Saccharomyces cerevisiae S288C: one gene and its partners. The gene in region 1 interacts genetically with each later gene. Each region holds a gene or a part of one and is shown in the gene's direction. Other genes may lie near its edges. The genes, in order: SKA1, CNM1 and NTF2.

What was found.
Region 2: of SKA1 (region 1) and CNM1, changing one suppresses a phenotype caused by changing the other (phenotypic suppression), as found in Saccharomyces cerevisiae (one large-scale study listed by BioGRID).
Region 3: mutations in SKA1 (region 1) and NTF2 together harm fitness more than expected from each alone (negative genetic interaction), as found in Saccharomyces cerevisiae (one large-scale study listed by BioGRID).

Annotation. Positions count from the first base shown.
Region 1 is NC_001143.9:391,560-395,054, forward strand, and holds SKA1 (Ska1p), read left to right. Parts: upstream 1-2,161; coding exon 2,162-2,995; downstream 2,996-3,495. Other genes in the region: PAN-complex poly(A)-binding subunit PAN3, read right to left, coding at 1-720; URA6 (bifunctional uridylate/adenylate kinase), read right to left, coding at 967-1,581; MIN9 (Min9p), read right to left, coding at 1,587-1,814; anaphase promoting complex subunit CDC16, read right to left, coding at 3,167-3,495.
Region 2 is NC_001134.8:366,388-370,079, reverse strand, and holds CNM1 (Cnm1p), read left to right. Parts: upstream 1-1,895; coding exon 1,896-3,110; downstream 3,111-3,692. Other genes in the region: NRG2 (Nrg2p), read left to right, coding at 1-43; Pre-mRNA-splicing factor ECM2, read left to right, coding at 402-1,496; YBR062C (uncharacterized protein), read left to right, coding at 3,480-3,495, 3,578-3,692.
Region 3 is NC_001137.3:170,348-173,153, forward strand, and holds NTF2 (Ran GTPase-binding protein NTF2), read left to right. Parts: upstream 1-1,767; coding exon 1,768-2,145; downstream 2,146-2,806. Other genes in the region: GTP-Rho binding exocyst subunit SEC3, read right to left, coding at 1-1,471; YER010C (bifunctional 4-hydroxy-4-methyl-2-oxoglutarate aldolase/oxaloacetate decarboxylase), read right to left, coding at 2,287-2,806. UniProt on the Saccharomyces cerevisiae protein: Facilitates protein transport into the nucleus. Interacts with various nucleoporins and with Ran-GDP. Could be part of a multicomponent system of cytosolic factors that assemble at the pore complex during nuclear import.

The DNA of each region.
Region 1 (3,495 bases):
TGATGGCTGTTCAGGTGCATATAGGTGATACTGTAGAAGACTGTGAGGAGGCGGATAAATACGTGGGTACTTAAGATTACTACTCTCTATGGGTGGCGGTTGCATAGGAGGTGGCACATTATTAGCCATACTCATATTGTTACTATTATCATCAGTGGCGTTTATATTTATGCCACCAGAATTTGCAATGGAGGGAAATGGAAAAGAATGTGCATTTGCATTAGTGTGAATTGAGGAGGTTGAAGACGGAGTGAAAATGGGGGCATTGAAGGGGTCGTAATTGGAACTCGAAGCGGTAGTTGGTATTGATATGCTTATATTACTATTATTGTTATTGTTATTCACTAACGAGCTATTAACTATCGGATTAATCATCGGATTAACTGTAGAAGCAGTAGCAGAGGTAGCTGCCATGGCGATATTGCCAGTAGCATTTGTAGCAGCGGAGGTGGTATTCGTCACAGTGGTTAAGGAGTCACTACCGACTGTCATCGGAGTGAAACTTGCGGATACTTTAGCATTGAACTTAGGAACTGATGTCATGGTCGGAGTTGTAGCCTCACCCACATCTATTGGAGGAGGAACGTCATTTATGGTAGTAGCGGTAGTGTTATCGCTGTGTTTGAAAGGGCAACCTTCTTTCTCCTTTTTGCAGTAGCCATAAATAGTGATATTTCTGCACGGAATATCCTTCGCCCAATCAGGATTGATTTTGTCCATGGCGTAAGATACGTCTGACTAGTCTTTTAGGCTTACCTATCATCGAAACAGTGCTCCCGCCATTGTTATTATTGCTCTTTTAATTCATAAACCAAATAATTTAGCAGTTTATTTTAAGGTTACCCTGTAAAGGTCTGATATGTAGGGGAGGGCATATAATCATTTTAATATATATGTATATATTCTTACATATATATATAATATCGCCGTAACTTATAGCGTAAACTATATAAAATACGTCTTAGTCTATAAGCTATCACGGATAGCGTCTTGGACGTCTTTGTACACATCTTCGACGGATCTGTCGCAACGAACACGGACGACTTTCGATTTGGTTTCAAAGTACTCGATGACGGGCATACTAGTCTCCTTGAAAGTGTTAAATCTCTTCTTAATGGACTCAATGTTGTCATCGCTTCTACCACTGGTCTTGCCACGCTCCAATAGTCTCTCTAACATGATATCTTCAGGGCAGTCAAAGAACAGGATGAATTTGCTTTCAACGATGTCTCTTTCAAAGGAAATGGCTTGATCCATCTTCCTAGGAAATCCGTCAATTAAGAACTTATGCTTGTTCGCCTTGACGTTATCGGAAATAGCGTTGCGTAAAAGCGCCAAAGTAATCTCTTGAGGGACAATCTGGCCCTCTTTGATGCAGTTCTTGATCAATTCCCCATATTGGGAACCTGCTCTGCCCTGCTCAGCACGTAGAAGGTCTCCGGCTGACAAATGGACAAATGAATAGTCCTTAACTAGTTTTTCACACTGAGTACCCTTGCCTGCACCGGGTCCTCCTAGAACGAAGATCACGGAAACTTGGTCAGGCGAGAAAGCTGGCTGTGATGTAGTGGCAGCTGTCATTTGTCTTATTCAAGAAATTCAACTGGTTCGTTCTTTTGATAGTTTACCGAAATAACTGATGTCACGAGTGCTAAAGTTCCTACGAGTACCAACAATTTGCCTTTGTGTTTACCCTTGCTTTGACTTTTGTTAGCGCGTGGTACGTTTACGTTGGTCTTCGAAGGTGCTGTATTGTGGAAAGTTGGTTTTTTCGAAGAATAAAATCTCAGTATAAACCTGTAGCGTGGATTCATAATATAACTAAGCTAACATAAAAACGGGAGAGGGTGTGTGCGACTAAAGGCAAAGACAGGAATGCATCGCTTTAAAAGATCACCATAACTACTTAAAAGTTTCGTTAACGTGGTGAAAAAGAAAAGAAAAAGAAAAGTGAAAAAAATAAACCTAGGGTTGAAAATATAATCAGTTAGGTGTCATGATATTGATACATTTATTTCTATAGGTCTGAGAGTACTAACTTAGGGTATATGAGGGGTGTTAAGTTGGGATGATGACGCATTAATTAAGAGTTCATTATATGAGGATATTGTATACAATGCAAGAATAGCGCCCCAATCCCGGCCAGGTATAACGTGCAAGCATGAATAAAGAAGAATTATTGGGTTTTCTACTAGATGACAGTATTGATAGCCAAAAAAGATGCGTCACGGATCAGCAGGCCTACTCTAATTGGTTAAAGAATGATAATGATGAACGTACGGCCCATGAGGAAAGCTCTTCACAAAGTACGATAGCCGCATTGAATAAGAAGAAGCAGACAGAAGCTGCTCAAGAAGATATAGAAGAACTGTTAAACGGCTTAGAAGGCATTATTGGAGGAGCCGACCCCCGTAATCTCAAGAGTAAGTCAAAGAGGAAAACCAAAAAGGGCGGATCGAAACCAAGGGAAGAAAACGTGAATACGGAGAAACATATTGTAATGCTCGAGGTAGAAGATTTTAGTGATATGAGCACCCACGAAGATGTCAACGGAGCAAGTCCGTCGCCAAATCTGGACCGGTCGAAGAAGAATGAGAAGCGAAGGAAAAACGCCAAGGAGCTGTCATACGATGAACTAAAAGACAAACTAGAAGTTACCACTCGCAAATCACGTCTTGAGTGCAAAGACTTGAAAAAGAAAGTTCATGGGCTCGAAAGAAGGAACCTTGAACTTGAACAGCGTTTAGAAGAGCTGAAGATTGAGAACCAGACTTTGATAGAGATTAACAATAAACTGTTGAAAAACACTAATGAGGATGAGATTAACAAGAGCCAGAGGAACAAGGAGAAGGACCGAAAGCGGAGGGAAAGAAGAACGGCAAGGAGAAAAGATGAAAGAAAGCAGGAAAAAAAGCAGGAAAAAAAGCAGGATAATAAAACATCTCAATCTTTTCCTTCCTCAACTGACATGAATGGACAGCCTATAGAATTTTGAATGCATTCTAATGACATAACTATTTGACGACGTGAATTAGAAACACATACTTTTACGTGTGGCTGCCTCTAAGAATTAAACTTCTTTTCTTTTTATTCTTATTTTCTTTAATGAATATATACGCTATACTTGTACTAAGTCGTGTCTTTATTCCTCGCCCGCCTTCGTACTTTATTCCAGTTCCATATCTGCGTCAAAATCATCGTCGGCATTATTACTTCCAGTTTTGCTGTCATGACCTCCCTTTCTTAGAGCTTTGTTATTCTGATCAAAGATCTCCTTTTGTGTTCTCAACCTTTTAGCCATGTTGACAGGGTCATAAGTCAATGAAGATCTTTTTTTATTGAGCGAAGCCTTGTCCTTACTTGCCTGACTCATTAAATTCGACTTGTCAATAAGTGGGTGGCTGGCATCCAATGATAACGTCACGTTTAGCTCTAGGGCATTTTTCAAAAGCGCTGTTGCAGATGAATTATTAGGCTTTAGGTACAATGATTTGT
Region 2 (3,692 bases), on another chromosome or scaffold:
CAAGAAGAAAAGAAACTGGAAGAGGAGGGAGGCTAGCAGTTGATGTGAGTGAGCTCAGCCAAAAACATTTAAATATTCAAATAACGTACAAATAAAAGACTGATAAATAGTAATAAAACTAAGCGGGTTAGTAATACTCACCAAGAACAATAGCAGGAACGATAGTCGGTTCTCTTTCGTAATTTTTTTAAGTCACAACCCGGAGGGACGTGAAGTTTCAAACCTTATTCATTCCGGGATTACCCTCTCCTGTGATGACGTTTAGGCAATAAGGACTAAAAAAAAAAAAAAGAAATGCTATGGCAAATTTTATTGATAGAAGTGGTAATGATGATGGAAGGGCTTTTGAGCAGGTGAATAGAAGGTAGCTAACGGAAAAGAGTTATTGCACCCTTAATATAATGAATGATGAAATTAATGAGCCACCGCCCAATATATGTGAGCAGTGCTTAGGTGATGAGGCTAATATACGAATGACTAAAATTCCACAAGGCTCTGAATGTAAGATTTGTACCTTACCGTTCACCTTATACCATTTTAAGACGTCTAAACGAAGCAATAATATCATTAAAACATTAATATGTGTACGGTGCGCCACTCAGAGAAACATTTGTCAATGCTGTATGCTTGATTCAAGATGGCACATCCCTATACAACTGCGGGATCATTTAATATCCCTTGTGAACGAGGAAAACGTTATGACGGAGGAAGCAAAAAACGACATGATGAAAAGGTTTCTGTCACTAAAAAACGTGAAATTAGGAGGAGCTCAGATTACGAGTGATCCGTCAGAAGCAGATAATATCGTTGATAAATTGAAAAATATACTTCTGCGAGCAACATCAGATGGCCCAAGTACTCCGTTAATAAAAAACACAACTGCATTGTATAAAAATGAAAAAGGTGCAAATGAGGTCAAAAACTTGGAAAAGTACGCGTCCGTGGACATTTCTCATATTTTGAAGAAACTACCCTTGAATGAATCGTTTTTAAAAAACCCCTCCACCAAATCATTTTTTCTGTATAATATTGATGCCTCGATCCCTGAATGGAAAATAACTGATACAGTTTCGCAATTATTGGGTATAAAGAAATGGAAGGATGGAAATTCATTGTCATTAATAGTCAACCACAAGGCGAAGTGTGGTGGCCTAAGATTTCAATCTAGTGAATTGGGGGAGCGGTTTGTCAGTAAAATAAGTGAGACACTTGTCACACCAAAGGGCCTAAAGAGAGGAGTTTTACTTATTGACCGTTTTAGAATCTTTATCATTCCGTGGTCGTCTGGCTTTTCAGCTGCGTCATTCGGAACCAACACTGCAGAAAATATAAAACTTAGTTTAAGTTTGAATAAGCTTATTCAGTTGGAGCTAGGGCTTTCTTTTCCTACAAAAAGCACAGATAACGCAAAGAATGACAAGAAAAAGACATCAAAAAAAGTTCATAAGGACAGATCAAAGAAATCGAAACCTCGCGCTAACAAGTTAACAATATAGATGAAACGTAAGAAAAATCATGGGTTGAAGAAACGAACTGTTTGATCAATTTCGACCATCCATCTACCTTGCAAGTAATAAACAAAAGCAGGTTGAGTGGGGAACTTTATCTAAGTTGATCAGTATATCTGACAAATTTATACGGAATGCTGCAGTTTGGATTAGCACGAACATTTTATCTGTACGGTTTGTCGCTTTTAGCTGCTCGGGCTCTTCCTCTCGGTTACCGAGATGATAACTCGGCCGAATTTTGTAAGTACAAATAAAAAGAAAGTGACACAATTCTAAAAGTATCACTATAATTTATTATTTTGAGAAAGATAAGGTTCCATAGGTACATGATATATTGACTGATTTCTGATAGCTCTTTTTTTTCCAATATCGATAAAAAACTAAAATATGGAGGAACTAGGTTTAAAAAGCACTTTTCCATATGAATATGGCTCAGACTTTACAATGATAAGAACGGAAATGTTAAATACTACGAAGAGCGAAACAACTATTTTATTTTCCAATATAAAGAGCATTTTGGCCATTATTTGGAAATACTCATTTACATTTTTAAGATCTTTTTCCGATTCCATCAAACTTATTATTGACGATGTTGTCACTATTGGCTCCCGAAATTTTGCAGAGAGATTACAGATTGAAGCGAAAAAAAACAATGACCAAGAAGATATCTGGGCATCCACAATAATTTTGGGTGTGATTATCGGGTATTTAATCTCTTCTATTAAGAGAAAGAACACTTTTCCAATAATGCCTACGAGCTCACCTAAAATAGATGATTGTAGGTTCAAGACTGGTGATACCATATCCATTGTAATAAACTTTAATGAAGACTGCCTCAATAATCGAAGTGACGTTACCGAAGAGAGAAATTATGAGGAATCCACAGTTTTACATTCAAAGGAGTCAGTTCTCAGCATTGGTAGGCAAAATATGGTAACTTTGAACCAAAGCGATGAAAATTTCACCTATGGCAATTTTGATGAGTACGACTTATTAACTAAAGATTATACAACAGAGGTCTTAACGCGATCACCTGGCTCGAATCCCGAGTTTAAAGCAGTGGTAAATAATACATTACTTGATAGCGCGAATGAAACGCCGTTTAAAGGTATTGAAAAAAGTATTAACGAAACAATGGTTAAAGTTCCTATGGGATGCGATGTATCTCTCTCCCATTATGGCAGACAATACGCGCCTGGAAATATTTCAATTATGAGAAGCTTCACTGCTCGAGATAATACTAAATCTGTGAGTAGAGAAATTCGTGATATCTGTAAATCGTTTTTGATTATAAAAAGCCAATTTGGTGACGAACTTTTCCTGACTATGTTCATGGAAAAACCAGTTTTCTTTGATAACAACATCCCAATTGAAATAACTGGAGCATACCGAGAAAAACGAGAGCGATTAGATGAAGTGATTCATAAGGATCTTATCCGCTATGATGAAGTTCAAAATTTGACAAGGATTCGCAATTTGCTCCGGGTTAAAAGTCAAAAGATTTGTTCCAGGAGACATAATAGTTCGGTTCCCACAAAAAAATTGTTAGTTAATGATAAAGGCGCAACTTCGATTCTACTGTGGTACTCTAACTATTCATAGATAAAGTTTATTTGATACATAATCCGGAAAATGTAAGATATGCCAACTGTTAACTAGAAAACATCTGTACTCTATATATCGGAAACAAAAACTTTACGGGTACAACCATGATGAATAAGCTCGAAATTTTTGCCTTCCATATGAGTCCCATTTTGGTGACCAACTCTCCTACCCGAATTACTGTGATGATATATACTCTTCGTTTTCTAGTAATGGCTTCATTTTGCCTAAGTTGGTCAAAATTGTTGTGGGCGGCTTTTGTTTGCACCGAGGAGCGCTCAGTTCGTTATAATACCAGTTTTGCCACTCCTAAACTACTAAAGAAATAATAGAAAGATATATTCATCAAACATAATCACAATCAAAAAAATGTCTACATATGAAGGTATGTAATGATATATTATGAAGTAAGTTCCCCAAAGCCAATTAACTAACCGAATTTTAATCTGCACTCATCATTAGATTAGAGGAACATGGAATACAACAAAACTCAAGGGATTACCAAGAAGTAGGAGGAACTTCACAGGAGGAGCAGAGAAGACAGGTCAGATCCCAACTGCAAGGTCTATTTCAAAACTTTGG
Region 3 (2,806 bases), on another chromosome or scaffold:
TGGTTTCTGTTTCTTCCGCCAAAACTGCGTTTAAGTCCTCCAAAAGGTTATCAACCTTACCATTTATTTCTTGAGTATAACTTTCATTGTCTACTTTGTTTCTTTTACTTTTTTCTTCCTCCTCCTTTTTAGCAAGCGCTTCTTGCTCTTCTTTTTTTAATCTCTCAGCTGTTTCTTGTTCTCTTTGTTTTCTCTGTATTTCCAATAGTTCTCTCTCTTTTTTTAGGCGTTGCTCTTCTTCGAATTGCCGTTGACGTTTCAACTCCATTTGCTTTTTAGCCTCCAGTTCCATTTGACGTTTTCGTTCCTCTTCTTCGAGTTGTCGTTGGTGTTCCAATTCCATTTGCCTTTTCCTCTCCTCCTGCTTTATTCTTCTTTCCTCTTCTAATCTTTTCATCTCATTTTCCTTTTGTAACTGAAGTCTTTTTTGCTCTTCTAATCGTCTCAGTTCAGCCTCTTCTTGTTGCTGTTGTTGCTCTAACTCGTATCTTTTATTCACTTCATTCAATGTCGAATTGGAAGAATAGGGGGCCTTATTTAGAGATTTCATTCCTGCATGATATTCCACGCTTGCAGGCGTTGACACTGGATTAACGCTTTCTGTTTCAGACCTTCTTGTCCTCTCAGTAGGTGCTGAAAAGGGGACAGAGCCCACCGATTGGGTAGTGTTTGTCGTGAAATTACTTGTAGGTGACTTTATTGGAGATACGGAACCGGGGCGATTTGTGATGACTGCTCTTTGATAACTCCTCTCGTCAAGATAAAAAAGGGATAAATCCCAATTGACCAATTCAGGGACATGACCTTCGAATGTTTGAATGTATAGAGTAATTAGAGATTTAATGAAAACAGTTCTTTCCTTCGCAGAATTCGTTTCCCAGTAGTATTTTTTACTCATGGTAAGAATGAAGCCTTCAGATATCTCCAGGTCCTTCTCTACTCTTACTAGTTCGGTCAACTGCCAAGTTCTACCAATTTGAAAAGAGCCGTCTGAGTTTTCTCTTGCTTTATGAATTTGTATTAGCTTGGCATTGTTGGGCTTGGCACTCAAAATAAGGAGTCTTTTCTTTTTGTTCTCCAATTTTGAATCTGGAGGAGGTCTTGAACTAGGGAATTTTGAATCTTCTATAATCCGGACATGTGTAATATAATTATTCGGCGGTTCACCTGTCTTATGGTCGGGTCTGGAAAAGCAGCAATTAATTATGGCTTTCCTATCCCTTTCATATTGTTCGGCTAAAAAATTCGAAGTTTGAGAGGAATTTGAAGCTCTCGACACGTTTCTCTTATGCGAATAATTTCCACCAGAAACAGGTGGTGCGGAAGAGGGTACTGCACCTTGACTGACGTTTCTAGAATGGTGAGCACTGCTACCGGATATTGTTCTCTTGTGGAAAAACGATGTGTTTTCATCGTGTGATGTCTCACGACTGTGAGACTTCCTTTTAAAAGGAGACTTCGAGGACCTCATAATATAGAATAAATTGCGTAGCCTTGTTACCTAGCTGGAGATATCTGGCACCGACTCAGTCTTTATGACCGCTTTTTCTTCATAAGCTATGATACTGTTATTGCTATAAGTGTTCACCAAGTTAGTATTTGCCCATTAATACCGGGTGACATAGTCCCACAAGCGTGGTTCTCAAAAAGCAACGAAAAATTTTCTGACTTGGCAAGGTGAGACTTAGGCTGATAAGTAAGTACTTTTTAGTTTTTAGTGTACAATACCCCCTAAGGAACCCAGGTTTTAATACTATTATCTTTATAATGTCTCTCGACTTTAACACTTTGGCCCAAAACTTCACCCAGTTTTACTATAATCAATTTGATACCGATAGAAGCCAATTGGGTAACTTGTACAGAAATGAATCTATGCTAACATTCGAGACTAGTCAATTGCAAGGTGCAAAGGACATTGTTGAGAAATTAGTATCTTTGCCATTTCAAAAGGTCCAACATCGTATCACTACTTTGGATGCGCAACCTGCTTCCCCAAATGGCGATGTCTTAGTCATGATCACTGGTGATCTGTTGATTGACGAAGAACAAAATCCACAGCGTTTCTCTCAAGTGTTCCATTTGATTCCTGATGGAAACTCTTACTACGTGTTTAACGATATCTTCCGTTTGAATTACTCTGCTTAAGGATTTTTTAAGTCACCACAGAAACATGTATTTTCATTTTCGAATATTGTTTAGCATAATTGAAGATGCTTAGCTAACGATGTATAAGGCGATAGCGATAAAGAAGATATATATATATATATATGTATGAAGATAGCGTTTTTAAATGTATTTCTTTAATACTGATCTTCGATCATTTTGAGCTTGTTTGGCGGGAATACCATTCTTAATATCTTCAGAGACAAGTAAATCCACTTCAATTGACTTTTCGATATAGGTAACTAATTTTGAAATGTCAGTCTCTTGAACAGGAATGCGTACTATTCCATTATTGTCACCTGCAATATAATCACCAGGACATATTGTTTGGGTTACGCCATCACTCGTTAAGATTTTCAACTGTACGTTAGTGCCTACGGCTTTAACGACAGCCTTTGGAGCGCAAGATCCAACACCGTAAGCAAAAACGGGATGGTTTAAAGTCCGGTGTTCATCCACATCTCTTATGCGTCCAAAGACTACTGTCCCATTCGATTTCAAATATTGTGCTCTGGTACTCATCAGCCCCCCGTACATCGCTTGCGTAATTTTAATAAATGGGTGGAACTGACTTTGCAAATGGGGCTCCAGTGCGAGGACGAGTATTGAGTTGGGAGGGACAGAGTCTATATAGTTCACGGCA